Linked DNA regions of Bombyx mori. The protein of the gene in region 7 purifies or fractionates together with the protein of the main gene of each other region. This does not show direct contact. Links are inferred from orthologs where the notes say so. Each region holds a gene or a part of one and is shown on either strand. Other genes may lie near its edges.

Evidence for each region.
Region 1: the proteins of probable ATP-dependent RNA helicase DDX23 (region 7) and protein AAR2 homolog purify together in Homo sapiens (affinity purification with mass spectrometry; 3 studies listed by BioGRID and IntAct, counting the BioPlex papers as one, with this or other methods). This does not show direct contact. The link is inferred for Bombyx mori from reciprocal best matches to the Homo sapiens genes DDX23 and AAR2.
Region 2: the proteins of probable ATP-dependent RNA helicase DDX23 (region 7) and U4/U6.U5 tri-snRNP-associated protein 1 purify together in Homo sapiens (affinity purification with mass spectrometry; 3 studies listed by BioGRID and IntAct, counting the BioPlex papers as one, with this or other methods). This does not show direct contact. The link is inferred for Bombyx mori from reciprocal best matches to the Homo sapiens genes DDX23 and SART1.
Region 3: the proteins of probable ATP-dependent RNA helicase DDX23 (region 7) and pre-mRNA-processing factor 6 purify together in Homo sapiens (affinity purification with mass spectrometry; 3 studies listed by BioGRID and IntAct, counting the BioPlex papers as one, with this or other methods). This does not show direct contact. The link is inferred for Bombyx mori from reciprocal best matches to the Homo sapiens genes DDX23 and PRPF6.
Region 4: the proteins of probable ATP-dependent RNA helicase DDX23 (region 7) and CD2 antigen cytoplasmic tail-binding protein 2 homolog purify together in Homo sapiens (affinity purification with mass spectrometry; 6 studies listed by BioGRID and IntAct, counting the BioPlex papers as one, with this or other methods). This does not show direct contact. The link is inferred for Bombyx mori from reciprocal best matches to the Homo sapiens genes DDX23 and CD2BP2.
Region 5: the proteins of probable ATP-dependent RNA helicase DDX23 (region 7) and small nuclear ribonucleoprotein sm d2 purify together in Homo sapiens (affinity purification with mass spectrometry; 3 studies listed by BioGRID and IntAct, counting the BioPlex papers as one, with this or other methods). This does not show direct contact. The link is inferred for Bombyx mori from reciprocal best matches to the Homo sapiens genes DDX23 and SNRPD2.
Region 6: the proteins of probable ATP-dependent RNA helicase DDX23 (region 7) and U4/U6 small nuclear ribonucleoprotein Prp4 purify together in Homo sapiens (affinity purification with mass spectrometry; 4 studies listed by BioGRID and IntAct, counting the BioPlex papers as one, with this or other methods). This does not show direct contact. The link is inferred for Bombyx mori from reciprocal best matches to the Homo sapiens genes DDX23 and PRPF4.

The regions. Positions count from the first base shown.
Region 1 is NC_085115.1:3,919,283-3,924,115, forward strand, and holds the start of protein AAR2 homolog, read right to left. Parts: upstream 2,995-4,833; 5' UTR 2,892-2,994; coding exon 2,689-2,891; intron 2,416-2,688; coding exon 2,213-2,415; intron 1,791-2,212; coding exon 1,533-1,790; intron 1,187-1,532; coding exon 1,060-1,186; intron 811-1,059; coding exon 393-810; 3' UTR 1-392. UniProt on the Homo sapiens protein: Component of the U5 snRNP complex that is required for spliceosome assembly and for pre-mRNA splicing.
Region 2 is NC_085118.1:17,264,291-17,269,243, reverse strand, and holds the start of U4/U6.U5 tri-snRNP-associated protein 1, read right to left. Parts: upstream 3,065-4,953; 5' UTR 2,738-3,064; coding exon 2,599-2,737; intron 2,371-2,598; exon of another isoform or gene 2,319-2,370; intron 938-2,318; coding exon 811-937; intron 587-810; coding exon 435-586; intron 1-434. UniProt on the Homo sapiens protein: Plays a role in mRNA splicing as a component of the U4/U6-U5 tri-snRNP, one of the building blocks of the spliceosome. May also bind to DNA.
Region 3 is NC_085109.1:9,953,484-9,956,571, reverse strand, and holds part of pre-mRNA-processing factor 6, read right to left. Parts: intron 798-3,088; coding exon 573-797; 3' UTR 1-572. UniProt on the Homo sapiens protein: Involved in pre-mRNA splicing as component of the U4/U6-U5 tri-snRNP complex, one of the building blocks of the spliceosome.
Region 4 is NC_085111.1:10,749,560-10,754,518, forward strand, and holds the start of CD2 antigen cytoplasmic tail-binding protein 2 homolog, read right to left. Parts: upstream 3,169-4,959; 5' UTR 1,717-3,168; intron 1,393-1,716; 5' UTR 1,259-1,392; intron 1,033-1,258; exon of another isoform or gene 787-1,032; intron 662-786; 5' UTR 649-661; coding exon 466-648; intron 277-465; coding exon 1-276. UniProt on the Homo sapiens protein: Involved in pre-mRNA splicing as component of the U5 snRNP complex that is involved in spliceosome assembly.
Region 5 is NC_085132.1:3,761,841-3,765,315, forward strand, and holds small nuclear ribonucleoprotein sm d2, read right to left. Parts: upstream 1,839-3,475; 5' UTR 1,763-1,838; coding exon 1,761-1,762; intron 1,659-1,760; coding exon 1,406-1,658; intron 1,114-1,405; coding exon 1,009-1,113; 3' UTR 758-1,008; downstream 1-757. UniProt on the Homo sapiens protein: Plays a role in pre-mRNA splicing as a core component of the spliceosomal U1, U2, U4 and U5 small nuclear ribonucleoproteins (snRNPs), the building blocks of the spliceosome.
Region 6 is NC_085130.1:18,539,792-18,543,995, forward strand, and holds part of U4/U6 small nuclear ribonucleoprotein Prp4, read right to left. Parts: intron 3,977-4,204; coding exon 3,882-3,976; intron 3,214-3,881; coding exon 3,055-3,213; intron 2,000-3,054; exon of another isoform or gene 1,371-1,999; coding exon 1,265-1,370; exon of another isoform or gene 768-1,264; coding exon 697-767; exon of another isoform or gene 1-696. UniProt on the Homo sapiens protein: Plays a role in pre-mRNA splicing as component of the U4/U6-U5 tri-snRNP complex that is involved in spliceosome assembly, and as component of the precatalytic spliceosome (spliceosome B complex).
Region 7 is NC_085121.1:15,456,154-15,460,215, reverse strand, and holds the start of probable ATP-dependent RNA helicase DDX23, read right to left. Parts: upstream 2,801-4,062; 5' UTR 2,617-2,800; coding exon 178-2,616; 3' UTR 1-177. UniProt on the Homo sapiens protein: Involved in pre-mRNA splicing and its phosphorylated form (by SRPK2) is required for spliceosomal B complex formation.

The DNA.
Region 1 (4,833 bases), on a different chromosome or scaffold from region 7:
GTCCACTTTAAAACTATGGTTGCGTGGACCTTGTTTTGGTCCGATTGATAACCACCACCCACCACCTTATCTTCTTTCATCTTGCATTGCTGAAGTCCATGGGCGACTCCGTCTGTCTACAAGAGGGATTTAAGAAAAAAAAGTTTTCACGATTCTTTTTTCGCGCACATTAACTAAATGACTATATAGACTATATAGAACTAAAAATATTGCCGCAGCCGCGATCTCCTCGATTTCCATCATCGATACCTAGACGTCTTAACATATCAGTAGACAGTCAGTAAATAAACGTTCACGATTGTGTGGAGAGTTGCCCCATCATGGCGGCGATGATGGACGATTGTTTGTTGGCCTATCATGGCCGATTGTGAAGAGGAGCCATTAAATATAATCTATTGAGTTCCATCGTCGAGTTTCACTACGACCGGCCTCTCGTCTTCATCGTCAGCGTCTAGACCAGTGAAATCCCATTGCAATTTGTCGGTCAGGTTATCTTTGAAGCGTTCAATCATCGTCAAAAGTCTGCCGTCGACTTTGCTTACGTAAGCCGTGCGGAAAAACTCACGGAGTTTCTTGTATACTAAATTTTTATTCATCACTATATCGGCTAAGAAATCTTCGGGCATCTCTTCGATTTGCACCTCAATAGTCCTAATGAAGTGAAAGAAAACACTTCTGTATTTGTGTATGGCCTCGTCACACGAACATATGAGTATGACGAGGCTCTTCCAGTGCTCAAAAGCCTCTAGGGAGTGCCCAATCAAAAAGCACAAATATGCGAATTGCAGTTCTCCTATGATGTGTAGAGGTCTGAAAAATAAAACACGTATATAGAATTCTAGATTTTGGCTTTTGTGCATTTAATCATGTCAAGAGTCGAGACTTGACTTTAGCTTCCTGATAACTTCGGCACTGAACAATGCTTAAAATATCCATCATAGACATTCAACTGTATATGTAATCAACATATGAATGTAGTATGTAGTCAACAAAATTTTATATTAAGATACCCTCAAATTTCTCTTAAAATACTAACAGTTAATAAAAATAGATACTTACTCATTATGCTGTGCTATCATGAGCTCTAATGAGTATGACTGATCTAAGTAATGTTTCGTGATCTCCTCTGGTGTTGCATCCGGTGGATATTTATCTTGAGGTATTTCTGTGAATCTCATAGCAGCTCCTGTAAAGATTCACATTTTAGAATTCTTTTATTTTTTTTTATATTTTTTATTGCTTACATGGGTGGACAGACGACAGGCTCACGGCCCACATGGTGTTAAGTGGTTACTGGAGCACATAGGCATATACAACATAAATGCCGCCACCCACCTTGAGATATAAGTTCTAAGGTATAGTCAAACCGAAACACATTACTGCTTCACGGCAGAAATATGCAGGCTGGTGATAACCTATCCATGCAGCCTCACAGGTCCTACAATCAGTAATTAATTAGGCGTGTAGTTTTATTTTAGTAGATATATAGGGGAAAAATATTATTTACATTTATCTTTGTTTCATTAATTTACCTGGAACTGGTTTCAAATCTGGTAACAATGACTTTTCTTTCTCTTCCCTTGTGATTCTTTTAGCTCTCTTAGCACTTGAGTGTCCGGCAATCTGTTCTTCACTGAAATCCTCTTTAGTGGGAGATTTTTCATTCTCCTGACTTATTGAACTAGATGAAGACTTGACTCCTCTTGGTCTTTCTGCATCAGTCATCGATAAAAGCTCAACTGATGCTCTTATCATTCCACTTTCTGGTGCCAATTTTGCTGCTAGTTCAGCTGACAATAGAAATTAAACTTAGTACAGATTATTGATATAAGATTCTGGAATAACACAATATTTTAGTTTCTTGTATGAATTGTTTTTTCTGATACAAGCCTAAGTTTACGGGGCTCAAACCAGGAGTGTTGCTAACACTGCCTCTAGCAATAGCAGTGCTTCGCAGAATCTACCACCGTATCGGAAACGCAACCCCCTGAGAAGATCCGGTGAGAAACTCAGTAGACTGTGTCTATGGGTTAATTTTACTCATTAAGCCCTTCATCACAAGCGACGGGTTCGGCGAGGACAGTGACCAGTCTCAATATGCTCCACTATGCCAATATGACCAGGCTCATAATGTGAACTACCACCAACTTCAACAAGACTAAGTTCATTCAAGATTTGTAGGGCAAGTATTTCTTTAATTGAAGACACCAACCAGTGATCTGTGAAGACAGTAACTTCCACTTCTGCCATATTTCATATGGATATGGAGCAAGATGTCGGTCCAAATTAAATAAATTATCTTTCAAACGTTGGATGCTCTCATCACTGATCTCTTCCTTGCTCAAATCTTCAGTTTTTTTGTCCCACATTTTCACAAGAAATTCTTTTTTGTGAAAGTAATGCATGAAGCCAGATCTGGAATTTAATCAAGAAAAGTAATTTATTTAGGTATGCAAGTAACAATAATATTGATATCAGTCTCATATAAGTTCAATAACAATACACGAAGAAACTTAATAAGCTGTATACATATATTTTGTGCTTCGAATATGTAAATTCTGAGTGTAAATCTGATATCGAATTACCATATTAAAATTAAGTGATAAGATTCCAAAAACAACCTCCAAACTTGAATTCCTTGTATAGTACTAGGATTGTTTTTTTAAAGTATATATAAAACGCACTTACCTAGGTGCAATATCGCCAGTACCTTTACTGACAGCAGAGTAATGAACATAATGTAAGCCTGGAGGAATCATTTTAACGCCACGAAAATCTTCCTCCGTGTTCCAGCACTGCATATCGATGCCAAACTGGGTTTCTGAAGGGACTCTCAAGAATACAAACGTGCCCCCTTCCACTAGCAGCTTTTTCGCTGTTTCTTGATCCATATCCAACTATGCTCCCGAAACAATGAAATATGAATTAATGGTATGATAAAAATACATACAATCAATCAATCAATGTGTTTACATTCGTGAGTGTCAAACGTCAATGTCAAAATCTCGACGCGTGCCGATTTGAATGTTTCTGAACGTGAAAGGTAGGTACAATGCAGACTGAAGTGAATAGATTTTTTAATAATTTTCTTAGGTTTGAAATAATGTTTTTGTTCTCAACTATGTAAAACAATGTTTTAAACATTAAAAGCACCATAACCCAATACGATTGTATTTAACAGTAACTAAGTGTCTGTCTGTTATCGAACTAACCCCTGTATAATATATATTGTGTGCGTCTTATTTGTTTTAGGTAAATCAACAGAGATCCTGTCATCAAATATTCTTAGCTACTCACTTAATTCTTAGTGAATATCTGTGACCTTGCTCGTTCACGAAGCCCGCTATAGAAAGCAGAGTATTAAATACACTTGACATTGGCGAAATCTAAAAGGAAACGCCATAAGCCTAAGAGATAGATAGATAGATAGATAACTAAGTGATGTGTCCTTCACTTGTTCTATTTGTTTATTTTTTCAGCATGGCTACCTACGACTATCTTTATAACTCAATTCATTTGAAAAACTAAGTTTATAAATATATCATGTTTAATTTTCGGCATATTATTATTAAGTTAATTAATTTGTTATTTTAAATCTGTCTGCTATCTTAGGATTTGTTTTTCTACATGAGCACAGAATCACGCTTTTTATAAAGTAATTTCTCTAAAACATAAGACAGGAGGGTAGGTACATTAATTTATATTTCTGTAACGCTTAACGGAGCTACTCATAATAGAACAGAGAATAAGTCAGCAGAGCGTATATGAAAAACTTCGACGAAACTCAAATTTGATGAAATATATTGATCGTACGGACTTCTGAGACTCCCACCTCACCACTCGAATCTTAAAACGGAAGCGCATCTCAAAGCGTGCCCGCGTCGGGAGAACACGCGGTGAGATCTAATCGTGGTGCTGGGGAGGGACATCTCCTTGCGACTGTCGTTGATCTTATGTTAAAGGACAAGAGTTCGTGCGAGGCTTTGCGAACTGATTCTGGTGTTCCATGAGGCTGAGGAGTGCGAAAGGGAGTGGGATCTCTCTTCAGGTCCTCAGCGAAGAAGGCGGAGTGGGCGGCGCGGGCGCGAAGCTTCCGTTCATCTCCCGTAGGGGCCGTCAGGTACAGAGTCCAACACAACCCGTTCTGTTCCCCCCTCAATATTAAGAAACCAGGTCAACGGGATGAGCACGATAGGTGATAGATAATCTAGATTAAGGCGAAGACCCAATTAGAACCCTGTAATCAATGCGAATGCTTTCGAACATAGTATATAAGTATACTGGTATGTTTAATCTTGTTATGATAATTAAGATTTTAAAATTATATTCATAGTTAATCCCTTTAGTAGTAATAATATATGACAAGGCACTATATTTTACAGGAATTCAGTGATTAAAACTCAGAGGAAAGACCATAATGCAAAACCTTATGGTATTTTTTATTCCATCATCTTAATTTTTTATAAAAAAGTCTGGTGTGGTTCGGATCGGACGATGTTCAAGTTAACTGAGAAATAAGAAATTTGTTTTGTCTTATGCAGAATTTGAGATAAGAACACATCCGAGAAAAGTTTAATTATATACTGAATTTTATAAGACAAAAAAAAATATGTATTGTTATTACCTATTACATTTCTGTTACGTCTCTAATATAGTTTGACTTAATCAAGTAGGTATATTTTTTCACATACGTACATAGTCTCGTCCTTTAAAGTAATGGAATAAAAAAAAAGATCCATTTTTCGGTCGCCAAAACAAATTCCGACCGAATTACGTCTAGATTTTTCGAATTTTTCAGCGTGAAGTGGGCAACACAGCAGTGCACTGCAGCAC
Region 2 (4,953 bases), on a different chromosome or scaffold from region 7:
AAGCTATATGTACCTTGATGTTGATTTGTTAATGACTTTAATATAATACGTTAATTTATCAACGCAATAAAAAAGAATTTAAAGTTCCTAAGTGAAATTATTTATTTGTTGGGGCTTGACACTTGTAATTAATTCCACTACATAGACAGATACAGATCAATCTATTTAAAAGTTTGTAAGCAGTGGGTAATTTTGCTATAATATACCTATTAAATTTATCTTATGAAAATATTAACCTGAACAATTTGTGTAAAATAATGACTAAAAACATATAAAATGGCAAAAAATTTGAATTTTATTTTGTTTATTTATTGTTGGCAAAGATAACACATCAAATTCGTTATGCGTGATATAGTCTGTACATTAAATAAAATACAATATATTAACACAATAAAAAAAAAACATTACAAAAGCGATAAAACTACATTACAAACCAGCAGGTTTCTCATTGACTTCAAGTGGTTTAAGTCCAAGTTTAGCTCGTAGACGATTGGTCTCTTCAATGGACAAGCTCTCTTGTGCTCCACCACTCTGTGTTTGTACTGGAGACTTGGTTTTCTCACGTTCATACTCAACACTCTTGTCCCTATAAAAAGTAATAAAAATAGTTCGTAATGTAATTTCAAGATAGATAAGCTAACAAACCTACCCAGTGGAATTATAATTATAATAATACTTATGTTACCCATCAAATTGTGTATGATTAGATAGATACAGAAAAGAAGATGTTACTAATCATTGCAAGGTCATAAATAAGTACAAGAGTTCAAGAAGTAGTCACTTCAGTCAATGTTCAGTTTAGTTTATTACCCTTCAGATTCATTTTTCTCTGGCCGATGCAAAGCACGCATGCGGCGATCCCGATCTTCACTGTCTCCTCGAGAATGGTTAGTCTCGTCATCCTTCAGCTGATGCGAGTCGACAGGCACTTCTTGAACTGTAACAAACAGATATCTGGTGTTTAATCCTAATTTATAAATCTCAATTTCTTATTGTGGACAGATTATAATGTAACAACATTCGTTTTGTATTATTTCAGCGTAAAAATCATTTCGTGGTGGCAGATATAAGTGTATACAAACAGATAAAAGTCTGTTAATTATATTGTTTTGTATCTATGTATGTATGTATGTTTTTTATTTATTTATCTATGTTTTGTGTATAATATATATATATATATATATATACTATCTGTAGACTATACTATACTATGTGTATACTATATTGTATTAATTCTACTGTGTTGAAGTAAAACTTTACTTCTAATGTTGTAGCTGTAATCAATGTTCAGCTGATTTTAAACACATTAGTGATGTGTAGGCTGGCTGGTTTGCCTTTATAAATTAATGCAACCTTTTGATTAAGAAGTAAAGAGGATGTGAATTTGAGTTGGTCATAACAAATAGAAAAAAGAAACAAACATAGATATAGCGACAGTAAAAATAAACAATAAAACTGCAGTATGAAGTACTAAGCACAGAACAGAATCAAAAATTCTATTCCAATGAATACTGCAGGACAATAAGGACAATTCCTAGCTAAAAATAATTACTTGTTGTTTTAGTGAATTTCTATTTCAACAACCCACAAACCAAGAAGAAAGCCTGCAACCAGACTCAGTGTAAAAGAGAATGTGGATTTCACAGGTCACACAATCTTTAATTAAATACACTACTTACAGAGAATAAAAATATAACATTTTAATGGTTTTTTTAGTGGCACCATGTTCATTCACTGGGTTCATCATTTATTTTTGTTTTAAAGAATAGTCCTTGCAAAACTTAATTAGTAGTAAAGTACAATGGCCATTTTCCTACATTTCAGTTGATAGTTGTAATGTTGTATTTGGACAGACAAGTTTAGCTGATTTGATATGATTTACTACAGTCCGCAGGTGCCACAGTGTAACTGCGACATAAGACATGATGTTGAATCTTAGCTGTGCTGTGATAAAAGCATACTTCAAAGCTAGACTAGGTTTTTTTTTTAAATTGTTGTTATTGTTAATATTAAGTATGTGCTGGTGGTTGTCATTGTTTTCAAAGATTTCCGATAAATGTTTGTCTTATTTTACAGGCTCTTTTATTGTTTGTTTCTAGAGGAAGTTTCATTTAGAATGAATTGATACACATTTTGTGATTTATGGCACTATAGAATAAATAATTATACGTAGAAGTATGATATTGGTACTTTACAACATAATTATTGGTGATAAATTGTTAGTACATTGTAGTTCATTTTGTTTCCTGTATTATTTTCTGCAGCAAAAACAACTTTACTCAAATCAGGAACCTTCCATCGTTTTATTAAATACCTACCTCTTAATGACGGAGCGAGGGACGCGGTGGCTGAGCTCCAGTGCCACCGGGTCTGAAATAACGAGCAGACAGTGTGCCATTATCTTGTCATAATTAATAACAGCCAGTTCTGTTGATGACCTATGCAATTCATTATTTAAATCAAACAAACGGTTTTATTTGGATATACAAGTTAGGATGTGAATCCGTATTTCATAGTTTTGAAACGTGGTTTTTTGGCACATAAGATCATCATCAAAGGCTGGCGTTTGTTATCTTTATCGAAAGTGTTGTTACTGACCGTCAGGGGAGCGCTCTCGCTTGCGATCTTTATGTTTCCTATGCCTTTTTCGTTCACGTTCTTCACCTTCGAGTGGCGAACGGGACCTACTCTTATGCTTCTTTTTCTTTGCTTCTTTCTTATGCTTTTTTGAACCCATTCTTGTTTCTTAAATAGTCTCTTATAACAAAATTATGGGTACAAAATAAAAACTATAAAATATTAAAAAATCGTATTCTCGACAAGTGTTCTGTTTGTTTCAATAATCACAGACAATTATTATTAAAGATACTACGTAGTGAAATAGTGCGCCATTTTATTTTGCAAAATATAGTCTGGATATATTTGTGGTCCTATTTCTATTCGTGTCTTACAAATGAACAAACTTATAAAGCTATTTCTATTATGCAGTTAAACACGTTTCATAGGGAACAAAAAACAGACCTGGAACAAGAAATGCCAGTGACAGCATTGACAGATATATAGTAGTAGTTTTACTTTTTCAACTGGAAAGGCAAAGATGTCATACCATACCGCCTGATCTTTTATAAATTTATTTAATGTTTTATAAGAAAAATGATAGAAGTGAAATGAAATGAAGTTGATTAATATGAAACATGGCATGAAATGAAATGAGATAAGATGAGATGATATGGGATGAAATATAATCTCAGTGAAATGGTGGTCATTTACTAAGACTTTTTCAGTAGACTTTTTGGAGGATCCCGAGAAGTTACGTCCAGCGGCTTTGTTTTATTTTCTTACATTTGTGCATTTTCACAAATACTAAACAGTAAATAAACCACCGTTATTACGCATTTAAACCTGAAGAAACACTAAATAGACAAAATTAAACAAATCACATAACTTCACTCCTCGCGCTCCCGCCAATAACCAGATATTTGTAATAAACTAAACATTTCAAAAACAGATAGATACAATAGGTACCGAATTTGTGGTAGCATTAATTTAGTTTTTCCAATTATTTTTAGTATAAGGCTTGAATTAAGCCTTCTCGGAGTTTAAAACCTGTGAAGCTACCGACCAAATTAAGTTAATTACATTAAGTTGTTACTGGAGCCGATAGACATGAACCATGTAAAAAATGAGTTCTAATTCCCAGTGTTCACAGTATAATGAATGAACGATGAGAAACGCTTATCTGCTTCACAGCAGAAATGGGCAGGGCGGTGGTAAATGTGGCGGTGGCGGATGAAATTGCTCAGTAGGCCGACGGTCCTGTTGCTATTATTCGGAACTTGTATTTAGGAAAGCTTGTCTTGAAAATGTTAGTGAGATACAGGTATCTCTCAATTCAGTTTTTATAAGCATTAGGTACCTGTTTACTTAAGAAGGTTTAGTATATAGAAGATTACAAGTCCTTTTTCCTAATACAATACCCTATTTTAGACAGCTTTGTGGCTTCGAGACCATCGGTTGTGTCGTATGAGGTCGAGCGTTGTCGTGGAGGAGCAGCGGGGACGTGCGATTGACAGAGTCTGGCCGGGGATTTGCGAGCTTCTTTTTTTTATTATTGCTTAGATGTGTGGACGAGCTCACAACCCACCTGGTGTTAAGTGGTTACTGGAGCCCATAGACATCCACAACGTAAATGCGCCACCAACCTTGAGAATAAGTTCCCCTACCCTTCAAACCGAAACGCATTACTGCTTCACGGCAGAAATAGGCAGAGTGGTGGTACCCACCCGCACGGACTCACAAGAGGTCCTACCACCAGTAATTACGCAAATTATAGTTTCATTTTTTATTACACGATGTTATTCCTTCACCGTGGAAGTTAATCGTGAACATTTGTTGAGTACGTATTTCATTAGAAAAATTGGTACCCGCCTGAGATTCGAACACCGGTGCATCGCTCAACACAAATGCATCGGACGTCTTATCCGTTAGGCCACGACGACTTCTACTTGGGCTTCTCCACCATTATGTCCAGCTCACAGTGCACATTAATAGTGCTGGTGTCATTTGATAAGGAGCTGTGGTATATTGTGACCATGACTTTTTTAGGGGTACGCTTTCATTTGGGACATTGTCTATGTGCTGAAACAGGGTCTAAGCAACCACTTACGATTAACAATAAAAATCCAGTTTTCATCATAAGTGATAAAATCGGGAGAGTGAAAACAAAATTCCTTTGTTTCTGTGTCTGTTAAGCAACACAAGCTACACCTTAACGTTTAACGTGCGAACAAATTAGCTTGGATACAGTTCCAGAGTCTATATATCACTAACCACTGCTCTATTAGTATTCAATCCTTAAATCATATGCTTTTTTGGCACAATTGTTGAATACTTACTGGTTGGTTGAACACTTACTTTTTCAAAGATGCAGTTGCCATTCAGGTGAATTTAATT
Region 3 (3,088 bases), on a different chromosome or scaffold from region 7:
ATACCTTTACCTCTGCGCTTTTTTTTTTACAATAAAATCTTTTTTTTTAGACTATTTTTAATTTAAATTTATTTTCTATTTTTTTGGTTCGATTTTCTATAAAAGCGTATTTTGTTAGTTTTTTTTACCATTATTTATTTTTCATTTTTTAGTTGAATTTCAATTTTTTCAATATATATTTTTAAATATTGAATTTGCATCGGTCCTTAATAAGTATACCAAATTTCGAGTTAATCCGACGTTTTGAAGGGGGTCAAAATCATGTTTTTTTTATTTTTTTATTGCGTAGATGGACGCGATCACAGCCCACCTGGTGTCAAGTGGTTACTGGAGCCCATAGACATCCATAACGTAAATGCGCTACCCACCTTGAGACATGAGTTCTAAGGTCTCAGTATAGTTACAACGGCTGCCCCACCCTTCAAGCCGAATCGCATTACTGCTTCACGGCAGAAATAGGCAGGGTGGTCGTACCCGTGCGGACTAACAAGAGGTCCTACCACCAGTAAGTTCAAAGATTCCGTTACATGCTAACATACATAAAACTAAACGTATTTAAGGATTTAAAGTCTTTAAGAAGGAACTGGCAGGTTTTTAGCGACGAGAAGCAGTATCTGATCGGTGCTGAAACACCAGTTAACGATGTCCTTAGAAACCTTGCACCAGTACTCGCCGTGGTGCGGCTCGGCGGCCCGACAACGCGACTTCACGTCCTCCTGTTGCTGTTCGTTGCCGTGAAGTAACTCGAATTTATAGAAATACGCCCAAGCGTCCCCCAAGTCGGGATCGATTTTTACCTGAGATCATAAAATTTCGTTGGAAACAATAAAGAAAAACAATAGTAATCCCCCCATATATAACTACATAATATTAAGTAAACATAACTACTAATTATATTAAGCAAGTGATAAAAAAACACACACACATTAATAGATTTTAAGTTATGTAAATTTACTGGAAATAAAAAGGCTTTATTATTATTATTTATATGTGTATTAAGCATTGCCTCGCCTGGGAAGACGGCAGGACACACTCCGGTGAGGTGGGCAACGATCGGCCGGAGCTTTAGGGACTGTTGGGCGAGAAACCGGCGAGCTATACGGGCATTGTCCAGCAAGACTGCTTTTATTATTATTATTATTATTAATCCCCATACAAGCAACCCACTGAGTTTCTCGTAGGATCTTCTCAGTGAATCGCGATTTCGACTCGGTGGTAGATTCTGTGAAGCACGGGTCTTGCTAGAACTGGTGTTAGCAAGTTCTCTCAGGTTGAGCCCGTGAGCTCACCTACCTACCCGTCTGGGTGTAACTGTGTGGCAGGCAGCGTCTTGGCTCTGTCCCTGGCATTACTGACGTCCATGAGCGACGGTAACCACTTACCATCGGGTGGGCCGTATGCTCGTCTGCATACAAAGACAATCAAAAAAATAAAAAATAAAGCTGGGTTAGCTAGCTACCTAGCTATCTAGGCCACCAGCAAAAAGGTAATGAAAAAAAAAATGGCGATGATATTTTTTTTCTGTTGTATTAATTAATTGTACACGAAACAGAGGGTCTATTCAAACATTTCTAAGATTAAATTTACGAAGGATACAAATGATTAAAAGTCACGATTTCTAACATCTGGCGTTTTACTATAATACATAAATTCGCGGCGGCACTTAACAACCAAGTACCCTTTTAGTAGCGTTAAACAATTTAATTTATTATTTCATACAACTATAATTTTTATTTTAATCGCGTTGGTATTTTATCTTTCGCTTTTTTTTTAATCATAATTATGTACTTATTACGAGTAGAATACCGGTGCAATGTAATCGAGATTAAGATTTTAGGCAATCAAAACTTTTCACTTTTTCGTTTCACCCACGAAATTAATTCTCAGAATTAGACCCTTATTATTATTATAGGTGGTGGTCTATGGGCTGTTTTTTGAAGAATTAGTAGGTGGGCACTTAGGACGTTTGGCTTATTAGAGACCAAAAGCAGACACCTTTTGTATTTTATTATGTTTTTCTAAGATCGTATTCCCCCAAAAGGTCTCATAAAACAAAAAAAGCAGAGCATTGGGATTTACGTAACTATGTCGTGCGAGAGAGACAGCTATATATTTCTGCTCTGCTTTAACTAGTAACGAACACATACATCGAGACAATCCGTTTAAAAAATAAGGAATTTTAGACGCTTTTTTTTAAAACCTATTGAGAATCAGTTAGCGGAGAACCATTCGTTTTTCAATAGTATCTTCTGTTGCTTATAAAATAAATAAATAAAATATGGCCTTACTGTATAATTCCGTACGCAAAAAGGTTAAACAAAGGAAAGTGAAAGTGTATAACGTTGCAAGGAAGTCAATTGCGAACGCGTCATGTTTTACTAAGCGTTGCATATTTAAGGCTATTTATTATAAAGATCACGTGTTAAAAAAACGCGTGTTTTTTTTTTTTTGTATTGTTGCTTTCCAAATTTTAACGATAAAACAGTCGACGGAGGAAAACTAGAAGTTTATTATAAATAAGGAAATATTCGAATTCGAATTCCTAGCTAGACGGCGAACAGAGTAATGAATAATGACGTAAATGTTCAAGTGCACTTTGCCCAGTCAATATGTTAAGGATCGTTGACAAATAATCTGGTTTATCTATAAATAGAATGAATTCATTCACGAGAGACACATATCAAATTCGGATGCGCATAATTTACAAAAAGGGACGTTCAAAAATTTTTTTTTAACATTGCTTGTACTCTACTCGTCTGTAGAGAGCTAATTGAGCTCTATCATTATTTAGGTCTAAGAGCTTCGGTGACCGCTCACTATCGGGTGAATAACGTACGAAGGTTTTTTTTTATTGCTTAGATGGGTAGACGAGCTCACAGCCCACCCGGTGTTAAGTGGTTACTGGAGGCGCCTCCGACCTTGAGATATGAGTTCTAAGGTTTCAGTATAGTTACAACGGCTGCCTCACCCTTCAAACCGAAACGCATTACTGCTTCACGGCAGAAATAGGCGGGGCAGTGATACCTACCCGCGCGGACTCACAAAAGGTCCTACCACCAGTAATTACGCAAATTACAATTTTGCGGGT
Region 4 (4,959 bases), on a different chromosome or scaffold from region 7:
TTTAGGTTTCATATGTTGTAATATTTCTTTATAGTTATGTATCAAATCAAATTGTTGTTCTTGTTCATCTTCACTACTAGATTCATCACCAAGTCCTTTTTCATCGCTATGATGAATTTTATATTTATCCTCTGGTCTACCTTTTACTTTAACCCAGTCAATGTTATCAAGCCATCCATCACGAATTTCTTTTTCTTTTTTCCAATGGTAATGTCCTTGTGTATCAAAATGCCCTTCTTCAAGTTCTTCTTTCATGTTAAAAGGTGTTATTGTAATCTATAAAATAGTACTAATTAATGAAATTAATATTTTATTTGATAGTTATAAGTATTAATTAAGTTGTTAATATTAAATTAGCTGAATTATCCTCAAAAGCATTTTAAGTATTGTTTGGAAAAAGAAACATTTTTTAATTCTCACAACAATTTGAGTATTCTGATTAGGTTTTTGACTTATTCTACTCACTTCACCTTCCATTCCACCAGTTCCTTCCTCTTCACCTTCAATATCATTGGAGTTCATAACATTATTCTTCTCTTCTTCAGCACCACTATCTTCTTCGTCGGAATCCAAGGAATGTTTCTTGCCATCCTTCGTGGCCTTTTTTACTTCGTCTATTAATGCTTCGGAAGCGGGACGCTTTGACATTTTGGTAAAGTAACTAAAAGGAACAAATTTTAATTAAAAACATTAAAAAATATTTGGGTTTATCTAACAAAGACTTTAAACTATAGGCACATTCCTAAATTATCATTGAACACTAAGCAAAGTTTTACTCATCCTCACCCTAATAATATTTTGGGCGCCTTTTCTTGAATAGGTGAACTCAAATTGAGTGAATCAGATTCAACTAGGTTGGTACACGGTTGGTACCTCTTCTTAATTGTGATTGTGTGTCTGTTGCCGTGTGTTAGGTACGCTATCAATGAAATCAATGTTTTTATGTCTATCAAGGTATGGTCTCAAATCTCAATTATTAATTTTATTATGTGTATCAATGACTCGAATATTTAAGTGTATAATCTATGTCTATGACTACGATGTTTGGTTTTAGGACTTTTTGGCGGGAACGCGAGGGGTGAAGTTGTGTGATTTGTTTTATTTTGTCTATTTAGTGTTTCTTCGGGTTTAGATATGTAATAATGGTGGTTTATTAACTGTTTAATATGTGTGTAACTGTATTTTTCTTCTTCTTTACTTAGACATTTTTGTCCACTTTGAGATTTAATTGTTATATATCTGTGCAAAACCGACTTACTTATATTAAATTGCTTAGCTATTTCAACTAAAGACTTATTCCCAAATTCATAGTCTTCTATTGCTGTTTTTAATATTAAGGGATCATATCTCTTATAAAGCTTGCACTCTTTGATACATACACGCGAGGCATATCTAAAAATAGAAAACAATACGTAACTGATAATATAAATATAATTGCACTAATAATTAAATAAAAGTTTTAGACAAAAACATCATGAATAAATGAGATTCTTACCAACACGTTTAAAAAAGATTGTTATAACTACATAGACAACCCTACAATCCTGTACGTATTTATACTTAAGTCGTTCCCATTCAACTTATTGTCGTCCCAATTGACCTCCCTTTCATTGTTATTTGTAGCTCAGGTGACCCCATTAACCCCAAACATAACAATTTTAATATGTATTTTTAAATTATCAAAAAACATTAAAACCAATAACAATTGAGACTTACCGTTAATATATATGATGGCTCAAACACTAAATAAAGTTTTTATATCACAGTCGTCTTATATTATTATCAAATAATATATGCTGGCTTAACCATCAACTGGTGTTCGGTTGTAAAGGACCTAGGCCTACTTATTGACTCCAGCCTGAGTTGGCGAGCCCAGGTCATCTCCGTGTGTCAGTGAGTTACACTTACACTCCGTATGCTTTACCGCCTGAACAATATCCTTCCGCCCGAAACCAAGAGACAATGCTCGTTTAAACTTTGATCTTCCCCATGATCGACTATGGTGATGTGTGCTACTTTGACCTGAATGCAGATCTACTCAATAAACTTAACCGGCTTCTCAATAACTGCATTCGATTTATTTATAATCTTCGGAAATACGATCATGTATCTTCTCATCGCTCCCAACTCAAATTGCTCCCCATTCGACAACGCCGTAGCTTGCGTGCTCTCAGTACTCTTTACTCTTTGTTGCACTTCCCAAATCCACCTGAATACTTAGGGTTTGACTACAGCCAAAATCTTCGTTCATCTCACAATCTTCTTCTTCGCTGTTAGTTCGCAGGTAGTTCGGACTTTTTACATTCTTCCTTCACTATTCAATCTATTCTTCTATGGAATGCGCTCCCACTTAAAATAAGGTCGGCCAGAGTTTAAGACAAGGTTTCGAGTACTTAGAATCAATTAGATGACTCTGCTAAGAGTTAGCAGAGTCATCTAATTGATATTTATTTATATATACACATTTTTATATGTATATATTTATGTATATGTATTTATTTAACAAACAAACAACTGTCTGTACAAACTGTTTAAATAGCACTCGGGAGTTATTTTGCGAAAAAAAACTGTCACACTTTTGGATTAGAAAAAAATAGATGTTGCTTCAGCTGAAGCACTGTAGTGCGCTACCGAAGAATTACACAATCAACGTGAAAAAAGAGCAACCGGTTGGCGATGTATCGCATCCCGACCCGACAGCCTGGTTCTAGTCCAGCGGGGTATTCCGGGACTCCAGTCGCACTGTGTGGGTGGCCTGACGGGCTATCGTACCCAGACGGCTGACGGCTGTAGAGCATTCCGTCTCAAAGGCTCCGTCGACCGGACGTCCTCGGGGGAGCTGCGCTGTCTGTAGTGTTGACCGCGATAACCCCTTTACCTCACCCGGGTTCTGACCTGGAAGGGTATCAGACGATTGGGCGAGAGTGCAGGGGAGTTGTGTAGTGGGTATGGCCCTAAATTCTATCCTTTAGGCCCGCGGTACCGGCGAAGGCGGACTTTCGGCGCGGTATTGTGGGTTTCGTGGAGTCGTAGCGGTCAGTAAGCCCCCTCAACCGGGTAACCGTACGGATTCTACAGCGTTAAAAAAAAACAAAAAGAAGGCCCGCGGTTCACTCCCATACCCCATGCGCCCCTAGGGGCGGGGTATTCCTAGAAAGTTCGGCCCCCAGTCCAAAAAAAAAGATCAAGCACTTCAAACCGCATTTCGTCGACTTTCGCCAGGGAAACTGCTTAGCTGAGTGTTAAGCAACATACCTTGATAAAAAAGTCGTCGGGGCCTAAAGGATAAGACGTTCGGTGCATTCGTGTTGAGTGATGCATCGGTGTTCGAATCTCAGGTGGGTACCAATTTTTCTAATGAAATACATACTCAACTAATATTCTGGATTGACTTCCACGGTGAAGGAATAACTTATTTATTTATTTTATTTATTTATGTACACACAGAAAAAAAGACATAGTACAGAGTAATAGGAAAATTATGTACAAAGGCACTGCTTATTTCTTTAAGAAATCTCTTCCAGCAAACCTGCGAGAGGATAATGAGAATAATAATAAAAAGTGATAAGTGTGTGTAGAACAAATAATACATAACTAAAACAACAAATACAACATGAGAATTATAGTAATGCACTTACACATACCAAATATTGTTAAACTTGAGTACAAAATATTATAAGTCACAGTAACACTCGTATATACGAAGAGTATAGAACCATGATCACTCGGTTGATGAGAGATAAAATTGTTTGACCTTGTATTTAAAAACAGAAACAGACTTGCAAACTCGGATGTCAGCCGGCAACGAATTCCACAGTCTGACCGCGTGCACAGTAAAGGAGTGAGAATAGAAATTGGTTTTGTGAGAAGGGAATAACAAAACAGAACGTTGGTTGGACCTGCAGGGAGCATCAGGAGAACGAATGAAAGAGAATCGCTCACGTAAATATAAGGGAGAAGTGGGCTTATGTAGGATATTGAATAGGAGACATAATATTCGAGTATTCCTACGAAGGCGTATAGGGAGCCATTTAAGTTCTTTGCGAAAATGTGAAACATGATCGAATTTTCTGAGATTGTATATAAAACGGATACATAGATTTTGCATCCTCTCAAGCTTGTTTGAGAGCTCCTCAGTGGCATCCAAGTAGCAGGCATCGGCGTAATCAATTATGGGTAGAATGAGAGCTTGGACGAGAGATATTTTTGTATGCTGAGGTAAGAAGCCCTGCAGACATCTCAACGAGTGCAAGGCGAAGTGCACCTTCCTACTAATCTCAGCAACGTGAGAACTCCACGAAAGATGTCGATCCATACACCCAGGTTTTTAACTGAATCGGTTAGAGTTATTTGAGTCCCATCCAAATAAATTGGGGGGAGTATAGGATCGCTGAGTCTACTGCGCAATTGTTTACCCCCTATAATGATAGCCTGTGATTTTCCCGGATTAATGTGCAGACCGTAGGCTTTTGCCCATTCAGTGATAGACTTCAGATCACTGTTCATCGCAGCAATAGCCGATTCAACGTCAGGCTCTGAGAAGTGGCGATATAGCTGGAGATCGTCTGCGTAGAGGTGGAATTTAGAAGATATAAGCCTAGTGACAGAGTTTATAAACACAGAAAACAGAAGAGGAGAAAGAACACCACCCTGGGGAACGCCCGCACTGACGTTCTGCCAATCCGAGAAAGTCTCGTCAAGACGGACACATTGCGAGCGCCCCCGAAGGTAACTATCAAACCAGTTAATAGCAGACGAGGAGATATTGTTTGATTTGAGTATTTCGAGCAGAACATCGAAGTCAACAAAGTTAAAGGCGCTGCTGAAATCTAACAACACTAATAAAGTTAGTTGTTTGTTTTCCATGGCCCAGCGAATGTCATCGGTCACTTTTAGAAGAGCTGTAACCGTGCTGTGGCCCTTGCGAAAACCAGATTGGAAGGAGCTAAGAAGATTGTG
Region 5 (3,475 bases), on a different chromosome or scaffold from region 7:
AGCTTTGAGACATATAGTTGTCTATTATACATAGTTGTCTATTATAAAAACAGACAGTATAACAAACAGACAGTAATAACAGTAATTTTATTATAGTTTCATTTTTGAAAGTTCCATGAAGTTCTTCCCTTATTGTGAAGACCTTTGCATATATTCAGTTCTAATTTTATTACCACATTGAACACCAGACTAGAAATCATGTTTAGTCCAGTGGAATGGTGGACACCCTGTAACAACCATTTACTTAGGTCTATGACGACACTGTCTGCCATTTGAAATATCTCAGAAAACAATACTTAGTCACTGTTTCCATACCTCACTCATTACTTTTGAGTAATTTCTTGAGAATATTTTTGAAAAAACACTACATTTTTTTACCCTAGGGGAAAGTATGCTGTGGACTCATAGTGTCTGTCATGAAACCAACATGTTAACAAAATATTGGACTGGACTGCACAGCTTAATCCCATGATGTACATCAGATCTAATTTGCACAAATTAATAAGGGGCTATGAAAAAAATCATATTAAAAACACACTTTTACACTTTGGTTTATTATAGAAATTATAAACTTATTGACAGGTTTGTGGACTTCTTGACCATTGTAATTTTGCCATGTTTCTTTAAAAATGTTAAAGCATCTATATTTTACAAAATTGTTAGTTACTACTTGCACCAAAAGTAAGTATCTTTTTTTCAATTTTGGTATGTTCAGCCACTAATATGAAGTTATTTTATGCTAATATTAACAACAATACTGGTGAGACTCTTTTAATGCATCATTATAATAACTGATCGTTTTTAGCTTTATCTTACAATATGTGAACTTGATACAATTTCAATATATTAAAATATCGAGTTTGTTTATTTATTACATATAGTTGCAGAATCATAGAACTAACACAGTTTCCAATTTTGTAAAAGTATTATTACAGTTTAAGGAATGAACCAGTAAAGCTATTCATTTCCTGAATATTTTATTCATTAATACTTAAACTAATTACTGCATTACTTCCCTGCAGCTGTAGCAAGAGGATTCCTTAGTACTAAGATCACAGAATCACCGCGGAGGAACATTTTGGAGATGAATTTGTCCTTGTTTACAGCTTTGCCCTGAAAATAAAACCAGAAGTTATACGTATTTTGAATTTGAAGAGTTTTAATGAAATGAGCTAACACAGAATGTTTCATATCCACATAATTGTCATCTTGGGAATTTCCAGTGGTTTGTATTTTATCTCCGCTAATATTGGCCTAAAATACGCGACATCATGTCTTATTGTGTACTTTTCAAGTTGGAGCTGTAGCACTTTTATACATGAGCGCTTGGGAGTGGTTCCTATTTCCAATACATAACCTCAAATTTCTGAATCAATTGAACTGAAATACAGTAACATCTGTTTACCTTCTTTCCTTTGCCAGTTCTCGGTACCTCAGTCCACATTTCCTTAACATTCTCCAATACCATGTTACAATGCCGGTCGAAAGCCTTCACTCTACCCAGGAGTTTCTTATTGTTACGGCAATTTATCAGAACTTGTGTGTTGTTCTTTACTGACTGCGTGAGCACGGAAAGAGGTCCGGTACTAAACTCTTCCTCTTCGATTTTAGATAGCTCTTCTAGGGTCATTTCAGAGCGTGGCTTAGTTGTTGACGTCCTATAATAAGGTTAACATTAGAGTTATTGTTGACCATTACCGGCTAAGCAGATAATATGTTAAATATATTGTTAAAACTACGTAAATCATATTAATACTTACATTTTGTATTATTTTATGGGCTTGTGAACTGAGAAATTGAGTGAAAAAGATTACAATTACAGCAAAACTATCGTACACACGCTAAGTCGACGCTTTATTTTGTCTATGGTGACTCTGCTTTTTAATTCAACAATTTTTTGTAAGGAATTTTGTGACCTGGTAACTAAGACTTGTAAGTCATGTCTTATTTTAATTTATATTCTTAATTTTATGAAAAATGATAATATGGAGTGAAATGAAAATGATTAATTTGGGACATTAATCGACTGGGATGAAATAAAATGAAATGAGATGATATGGGATGAAATATAATATAATCTCAGTAAAATGGTGGTCATTTACTGAGATCTTTTCAGTGGACTTTTTGGAGGATCCCGAGAAGTTACATCCAGCGGCTTTGTTTCATTTTCCCACATTTGTACACTTTCACAGATAATACACAGTTAATAAACCACCGTTATTACACATTTCAACCTGAAGAAACACTAAATAAATAGACAAAATAAAACAAATCACACAACTTCACTCCTCGCGTTCCCGCCAAAAAGTATTATTTCAACAAACAATTATGGCCACTAAATGTCAGTTTTTAACTCGACACTGACATTGATGAAATCGTAAAAAGACGGTGGTAATACTGAAATTAAAGTTAACGAAGAGTTTCGAAAGGAGACTGCACGTCAAAATGGATCGTGAAACCCTTTCAAGATTTATTGAAAGTTATAAGTTCCACATTTTTGTGGAATGTCTCAAGCGCAGACTATATGAATAAACCAAAAATAATAAACGTATTACAATTTTTAGGCCCATTTTAGGGGAAGCTGCAAGGATTGATAGCGTGCGTAAAAAATGATATTAATTATTTGAGTATACTCTGCACGTTTAAAAAAATCATCCAAAACCTCTTGCTATTTTTTGCCTCTCTTCTGCTGCTGCTGACAACATCAGAAGGACTCCCATTTTTGGCGTTTTGATAAAGCAGCTGGCATTTTAACTTAAAACCCTCATTTAATTCGTTCGATTTATTCTGTTCGCGCTTGATACATCCAGCACTGCGGTCTTGAGCTGACGTACAGCCGTGACGGATCGTGAATAAAGCGCTAAATGCATCGTGCATCGTGCATGGCCTTGGCGGGACGTACAGCAAGATGGATCGTGAATAAGGCGCTTAAGGAAATTTTAAAATACAAAGTCATGATCATATAATCAGCAATTTTGTATATGCCATGCTTATTTTATGTTAACGAACTTCATATTCAATTAAATTTCTTTATTTCATTACCGTATTAAAGAAAAGGAAAATAAATGAAAGCGATTTCAGTATATTTTATTGTTTAAGGAACTCTTAAAATCGATTTTTGTCTGTTTGTCAGTGCGTTCGAGCCGGTAAGTCTCCACAGCAGCTGAACCATTAGGAGATGTTCTCTTATCCGAACGCGACGCGGCAACGCAAAGCCACCGTCGCTCGAAACATGTCTTGTGAGATCCCCCGGATTCACTCTCCGTGCTTTAGGCCTCTCAATCACCGGCTACCCTCCTTATCGAACTCGTCGATCACTAGCAAATTCACCCATAGACGGAGATCACCGAGTTTCTCGTTGGGTCTTCACAGTGGGTCGCGATTCCAACCCATGTGCTTAGTGCGAGTTTTTTAACGTTCTCGATAAAGTAAAGTAAACTCAAATTTGTAGGTACGTATGCGGTTGAAAACGTTT
Region 6 (4,204 bases), on a different chromosome or scaffold from region 7:
AGGATGAAAGTTTGTTGCACATGAAAGGATGTTTGGTTTAAGTGACATTTTAGCAACTTTACAGGGGAGCCCTTTACTGGTGGTAGGACCTCTTGTAAGTCCCGCGCGGGTAGGTACTACCAAATAAATAGGCTAGCGTGGTGTGGACATGTGAGGCATGGAGAGAAGATGCATGTGACTAGGAGATGTATGGAAATGGTAGTGCAACGTAGAGGGGGAAGAGGTCGACCGAAGAAGACATGGATGGAGTGTGTGAATGACGATATGAGAGAGAGAGGAAACAGTGTTGAGATGACGGCTGATAGAAGAGAATGGAATAGGAAAATTCGCTGTGCCAACCCCACCTAGGGGGATAAGATGGAGACAAAGAAGAAGAATTAGTTAACAATTAATACATTTTGCGTTTGCATTGATGCGTTTCCGATCCGGTGGTAGATTCTGCGAAGCACGGCTCTTGCTGGGGTTCGTGTTAGCAACGTCGTCAGGTTTGAGCTCCGTGAGCTCACCTACTAGTTTAAAAAAAAAAAAAAAATGCATGCCCGCTGAGTTTCTTGCCAGTTCTTCTCAAGACGGGGACTACTTTTTATGAATTGGCGGTAGATTTGATTTGATTAAAGTTACGCTGAAATAGCCTCTCAAGGCTATCTATCAGCTTAGGTAAAAAAAAAGAAGAAAAATATCGGCAAAGACCCTCACCAGCTCGAAGTGATCAGCATCTTGCTGTCCTGGCTGAACCTGCAGAAGCTCAGCGGCCTCGTGTCCCCGATCTGATGAAGAGCACCACAGATTTATGTGCTGAGCTGCCCCGCACGCTTAGGGCCGCCACGAGGTGGCCACGTGCTCAGGTTTGGAACGAGACAGCCCTGACACGAGAACCTTGTGACTGCGACATCACGTGGGCCTAGCCGGTAAAAACTAAGACGTTCCGTTTTTGCAGGATATCCGTTGCAGCACCATGGTTCCTAAGGAATGGCGGTAGGACCTCTTGTGAGTCCGCGCGGGTAGGTACCACCACCTTGCCTATTTCTGCCGTGAAGCAGTAATGCGTTTCGCTAATTTACTAGGATACGTAACATCACAGGGTCATAGTCGGCCATTTTGATCCTAGTTCTATATTACCCACCCCACTGGCCCCCACCACTGCAACTTCTGAGGGTCCACAGCGACGACCGTCCAACGAAGTGCGTTCACTTGGGAGGGAGACAGTGGGGGGGGGTGTAGCAGGAACTTAGGTACCCTCTATCCCCCACGACCTGGGCCTCACCTGGCTGCAGTAAATGCTAAAGGCAGACGCCTTCCGTTGCGACTCCTGCTTAGCGGCGGCGCGCACACTGCCAGCCAACTTGAGTTCCTCGCGGGCTTTGTTTAGCCTGTAACAATAATCGAGTAACTTACACGAGTCCATAGACATGTCGCGCCCCCCAGTGGTGGTGGATTTACACTAGGGGCGATCGGGGAAAGTGCCCAGGGTGGTAATTTTTGAAAGTGAAAAAAATTTTTTTTTCTTGTCGAGATTGCTCAATATAATTAATTAATAATTTTCTTTTTTATTGATAATTCAAGAAATTCAATTCACTCATGAATAGAATTATAACTTTGGCACTTTTGGTAAAAATTAATAATCAAAATTGATTTAATCAATTTATTTCCTTGAGATTTTTTAATAATAATCGATCTTCTATTTTCTGTAATTAAAGAAATTTAATTAGTTTTTTTTTTATGTAATATATTCTAAGGAAAGAAGACGGAAGTGGGCGTGGCCTGCTGACGTAATACAGCAGCGACTTCAGACTGGTCGGAGTTGAAGAGGGGAGTTGAGGACACCACTAACATATTGCCTCGTTCACGGCCTCTTTCTGATCTCAGCACCAGGGATAGACGGACGTTGTACATTCGCGTGTCAACTTAGTTACCCACATTTTGTCATTAGTATTTAAAATCAATAATTGTTGAAAATTGTATTTTGTATCGTTCTAATTATATTTTTTTAATATTTTGAGTCGTGATTTCTAATTATATTATTATTATTAGTCACCCTTTAGTGCAAAATTTAAGATTGTTAGAAAAAAAAACAAAAATATTTATTTACATTTTTGGAATATATGACATAAAATATGATAAAGTTTCTGCAATAAATTAGATATTTTAATTTTTTTAAATAAAATATATTAACTATAAGTTTAAGTAAAATTCCAGTATTAGGGCGGATTTTTTTTCCGATAACCAGGAGCGCGGCATTAAGTTTAAATCCGGCCCTGCGCACCCCCCATCATAATTTAAGACACCAGAATGAATCCACAATATTTCTATATATATCGAGTGGTGTAAGGCTCTTTAGTTTAAGAGACATTTATCTTTGTAATCAAAGGTCCGTTTTATATTTCGAATCAGCATCAACATTTCGATATTTTTAATTGAACTAGCGGTCACCCAGTAGTCGAAATTCGACTATAATTAATTGAATTTATAAGTTTGTATACTATTATGATTGTATTTTATACTTCTATAATCACAAATTTCGCCAAGACTACACTATAAAAAATATTAATAAAGACAAACAATATTTAATCTCAATTTGACAACAGACGTCAAGAACAAAAGTTTGACAATAAATAGTATGCATGCGTGTGTGCGTCAAATACATGGTATGTAGGGTATGTAATGTTTTCTTTTATGCAGTATTTAAAAAAAATATTAGCATTGTGCACTCCTTCTCTAAATTCTCTATAAGTGTGAGAAATTTCATGCTCCTCCATCCCCAAATTTTTCGTAAAAAGGGATACAAAGTTTTTGCTTCACGTATTAATATATAGATTAAGTTTACTCCATTCGAATAGCTGAAGAAGTTTGTTTTGTTAAAATATTATTTTGGCAAATTTTTAAAACTTTAAATAGATCTCCTGTAATATTGCAAAAATGTCGCCTGAACCAAACAGCCTTTTACCCTTCGTTACCTAACCTTAGAGGGGACAGCAAGGAGGTTCCGGAAGTAATGAAAATGATGACACAGCCAAGATATCACAGTCGGGTAGAGTCGAATTAATTGAAACTGACCTTTTTTTGGCGTTAGGCAGGGAGTACCTGGCTATCCAAATCCTCGCTTGCCTCAAGGTCGGGGGACCTTCGTGGTACCAGGTACCTTCTCTACCTCTGTCTCTTTCCAGGCGTGCTTCTTCCTCTTCTAGCTTCTTATTGATAGCATCTTCGCCGAGACTGAAAATAAAAATGAAATAATTAAATTCGTGTAATAAAAATAAAACCCGCAAAATTATAATTTGCGTAATTACTGGTGGTAGGACCTCTTGTGAGTCCGCGCGGGTAGGTACCACCGCCCTGCCTATTTCTGTCGTGAAGCAGTAAAGCGTTTCGGTTTGAAGGGCGGGGCAGCCGTTGTAACTATACTGAGACCTTAGAACTTATATCTCAAGGTGGGTGGCGACATTTACGTTGTGGATGTCTATGGGCTCCAGTAAACACTTAACACCAGGTGGGCTGTGAGCTCGTCCACCCATCTAAGCAATAAAAAAATATAAAGCCAAATGAAGACTAGAAAAGCTTTGTTAAATCTTTAAAATTCAACAATTAATTCATTTTTATATTTATCAATTTGTTTTAGTATTACACTTTATTACCAAATGCTGATCACCATGATATGGTGAATAGGAATTTATTCACAATTCAACATCAGGAAATTGCGTCTTTTTTGCTTGCGATCAGCAGAGACCTCCTGAGCACTAACCCAGCTGCCCCAGAAAACCAGTCAGTTGCTTCAGATTACCCATGACACCCCCATTATACCATTACAGTCCAGAAACTCCATTAGCAAATCGAGATAAACAAATTATAAAAGGGCTCACATATATATATCACACTTGACTTACTAGCTTAACAGATCCCTTAATCTGACTCTCCTCTCGGCCGGTCCCTCTCCGAACAGGCATACAGGCTCACCCAACTGCCGTAAGCTTCTCCTTACCTGGGTACAAAAGACACGGGTACACAATACAATATAATCATCAGCATACCTTGATTGGATTTAAAAAAATGCATTTTTGCTATTTTTCATGGGGAAAGCAACGCGACCTCCCATCACGGACCTAAAAATAAAAAGGCAAAATCACATCTCTAAAGTTGGTGTACTGTTACATATGCCCCTCAATAATCTCTATATATAAAAATGAATTGCTGTTCGTTAGTCTTGCTA
Region 7 (4,062 bases):
TTATTGTTTTTATTTCTCGAAATATATACGAATTTTAGTTAAAATTACATTCTTTTGATTCTAAAAGTGGATGTTTAAAATGTGTTAGAACTAAAGTAACTATAGACTTTATAACTTGCTGGTGACCATGATGGTAATTTACCTATTGCTTATTATTTTAGACTATAACTAGGATTGTCAAGCGAATATCATCTCTTCACGTCTCTTCTTTGTTACGACTGTCCCTGGCTTATGTTGAGCCTCAGGGTGGTTCATAAGTTCCGGTGGACACGTAGATACGGAACTTGCCAACAAAACCTGCTTCAGATCATAGAACAATGCGGAGTCTTCTTTTGTAACAAAGGACATAGCTTTACCAGTTTTTCCTGCACGACCGGTACGGCCGATACGATGAGTGTAGTCTTCAATAGTCTTCGCCATATCGTAATTAATGACCATACTGACATCTTTAATGTCAATACCACGACCTGCCACGTCTGTCGCCACGAGGATATCTTTAGCGCCCCCTTTGAGACTGGCAAGTGCAAAGTCACGTTGTTCTTGGCCTTTACCACCATGCAGCGTACAGGCATTGAAACCAAGTTTTTCAAGTCCCTTTGCAAGAACATCTGCACCTTTTTTCTGGTTAACAAAAATAATAATGGGTGGTTCGACACCACGCTGCAAAATCTCTGTAAGTTTTCTACGTTTTTCATTCTCGCCTATCATGTAGACTATTTGTTCAGTTCTGTCTACTGGTTTTCCTACAGATCCAATATATACAATAGCCGGTCTTCTGAGATAACTTCTAGCCAGCCGCTCTACAGCCGGAGGCATTGTTGCCGTAAACATCACAGTTTGTCGGTATTTCTTTTTTGTGTTATAATTGGCAAGCAATACTGAAGCATCTTCAGCTGCATCACTATCAGGTTTTATGTTCGATACAGGCATGTATTCCAGGATTTTTTGAACATCCGGTTCAAAACCCATATCAATCATCCGATCAGCTTCATCAAGAACAACATAGGTACAACGGTTTAGTACTAAATATCTGTTGTCTAAGACATCAATAAGACGACCGGGAGTGGCAATGACAATCTCACAGCCTAACCTCAGCTTAAAACCTTGTTCTTCACGAGATAAACCTCCAACAACCACTACTGATGTGATACCAAGAGGAATACCAAATTTATTAGTTTCTTCTTCGATTTGTTGAGCCAATTCACGTGTTGGAGCTAAAATTATAGCATAAGGTCCTTGGTCAGCATCTTCCATACGTTCACTCTTTGGCAGAGATTGAATCCATGTAAGTAATGGTATAAGGAATGCCAATGTTTTACCGGAACCAGTTTCAGCAACACCAATAATGTCACGGTTCTGTAATCCAATTGGAATAGCCTGCCTTTGAATAGGAGTTGGGCTCTTATATCCAACTTTGTTGATTATGTCCATAATGTCAGTATGCAAGGGAGCTTCCTTCCAAGAACGTATAGGGTTAGGAATTTTACCTCCTTTTAAGGTAATATTGTAGTCTTCCCTGAATATCCTCCAATCACGCTCTGTCATCTCATCCACATCTTTCTCAGACCAGTGTCTATCATCCCACTTTTGCTTGTCTTCCTTCTTCTTCACTTTCTTCAAGCGTAGTTTTTCTTGTTCTTTCTCTAACTCAGTTCTGCGCTTTTCTAAAAGATTCCCATAGAATTTGCTATGGTCTTTCTTTTGAGACTTGATATCTATACCAGCAATGTGTCCACGACCAAAGAATTGTACTTGATGTCTTTCTTTGTACAAAACATTATAATCATTTGATGTATCTTCTGACGCATCCCAGTCAAAAACAAATTTCCTGTCATTCAGCCGTCTTACTCTACGCTTTTTCTTTACTATACCTAAGTAACGAGCTTTAATAGCCTCTTCTTCTCTTTCTTTATCTTTTGTTTTAGATGTCTCTTCATTATCTTTTTTTGGTTCTCGACGATCTGAATAGGCTTTCCTCTCTTCATATTTCCTTTCCCGTTCCTCTCGACGTTCCTTTTCTCTATCTTTTTCACGTTCTTCTCTGTGCCTTTTATCTTCTTCCCGTCTTGACGGACCTGTTAAATCAATAGTGACTTGAGGCTTATCAGTATTAGCTCTTATAGCTTCTACTTCTTGACGCCGTTTCTCCAAAGCTATCTGTGCTCGTTGCTCTTTGGTAAGAAATACTGGCTTACTGCGGGCTTCTTCCTCAGCCTTTTTCTTAGCAAGTAGTTCTTCTAAGGACAAAGGCTCTTTTTTAATTGGTTTTTTATCTATGGATTCATCCTCTTTCTTCATGTCTGCAGTGTCTTCCTCCATTTCATCTTCTTTTTTTGATCTACTCTTTTCCTTGTCTTCGTAACGTCGATCTTTGTCTTTGCCGTCACGTTTCTTAGGGCTGCGCGAACGACCGCGTTCTTTACGTAGTGGACTCCTAGAACGATCGCGATCTTTTCTAGAAGGGCTTCGAGCTTTATCCGCATCTTTTTTAGGGCTTTTAGACCTGTCCCTGCGCTTTACTTTTTCACGATACGATTCGCGTTCATCGTAACGATCCCGATCTCTTCTATCTCGTGATCTTGACCTCCGCCGTTCAGGACTTCTGTCTCGGGCCATTTTTGGTTTATGGAACCACCGGTTTTTATTTTGTTAATTTCTTTATAGGTATTATACAGCAAATACAATAAAATTAAATTCGGTGTATTTTTCATGTACAAAATGTAGCAGTATGTGAACAACTTCAATGTCACATTTTTGTCAATTTTGACATTAACATAATTTATGAACTGTCAAATGGCCCTAAAAACCACTGAAGTAAAAAACCCATAGACCTATATAATAGAGACGCGACATATTGTTTTCCTCTATACGCACAATTGCTTAAATAAGTAGCACCCATTTTGATGGCACACACCTAAACATATTATATCTATCTCGTTCTTACTCAGCACTGTAACTCGCAGTAAAACAATATAACAGTATTTCAGTGCGTACATAGAATGAAATATGAATATACGTAAAAATCTAATGAGGCCGAAAATCCGACATGCTTAGCGCACCAAATGTCACTGTAAGTCAGCTCAGCCGTCTGTCTTGGGTTGTACATTATTTATTAACTTTGATATCGATTTAATATGATTGCTTATATAAAATTTCTTATTTTATCATGCTACCCCGCTTAAAACATACAAAAATAATAATTAAAAAATATTTTATAGGATCCCAAGAAAGTCGATGCCCCAAAAGTATTATCTATATATATTTAAATTCATTATGGAGCACTACTCCGAAAACTCTGACACCATTTTTCGGTCGGAATCTATTGTTCATGACACAAATCATAAATACCTCTTAATAAAATGTGTCATCAAAACATATTTAGACATTCTGTTTAGATATTTCGGGAAAAAGGTTACTGACAAAATCTCTCTTCGGAACTATTTAAGTAAAATTGTTTTATTCCGTAGCGAGTAAACAACTATTGTAAATTCGGTAAATTTGTAATAAATAAGTGTTTTTAGAGAGGAAGTCACAAGGAGGGTCGTTTTAAATTTGAATCACTCTCAAGTGAGAGTGATTCAAATGGTGCAGCGCACCTACCTTGAGGTATGTTGCGGTACTGTGTTACGGACTTTAGAGTCAGCAACACAATTAAAATAGGTTGTAATTGAGAGGTAACAGGTTACACAAAACAGCATAGCTAGCATGCTAACGTTTTATCGCCGACATAAAGCTTTTATACCTTTCCGGCATATACGCAAGTGCGAGCGAGATGGCAACATACGAAACGATGATAACATTTAGCATGCTAGAAATTGGCAGATGGCACTGTACTACGCCATATGTTTATGATTTGCCGTCACTGAGTTGTCAAACGACAAGTTTATAAAATCAGTGTAGCAACTTTTAAAAATCGTCATATTGTTTACTTGGCAAATTGAAGCACGAAATTGTCTTAGATTTCACACATCTAAATCACGTCATCTTTGCAAATAACAATATATATATAATACATACTTCCTATTAAAGTGTAAATTCTACAAAAAATTAATACTCAACAAT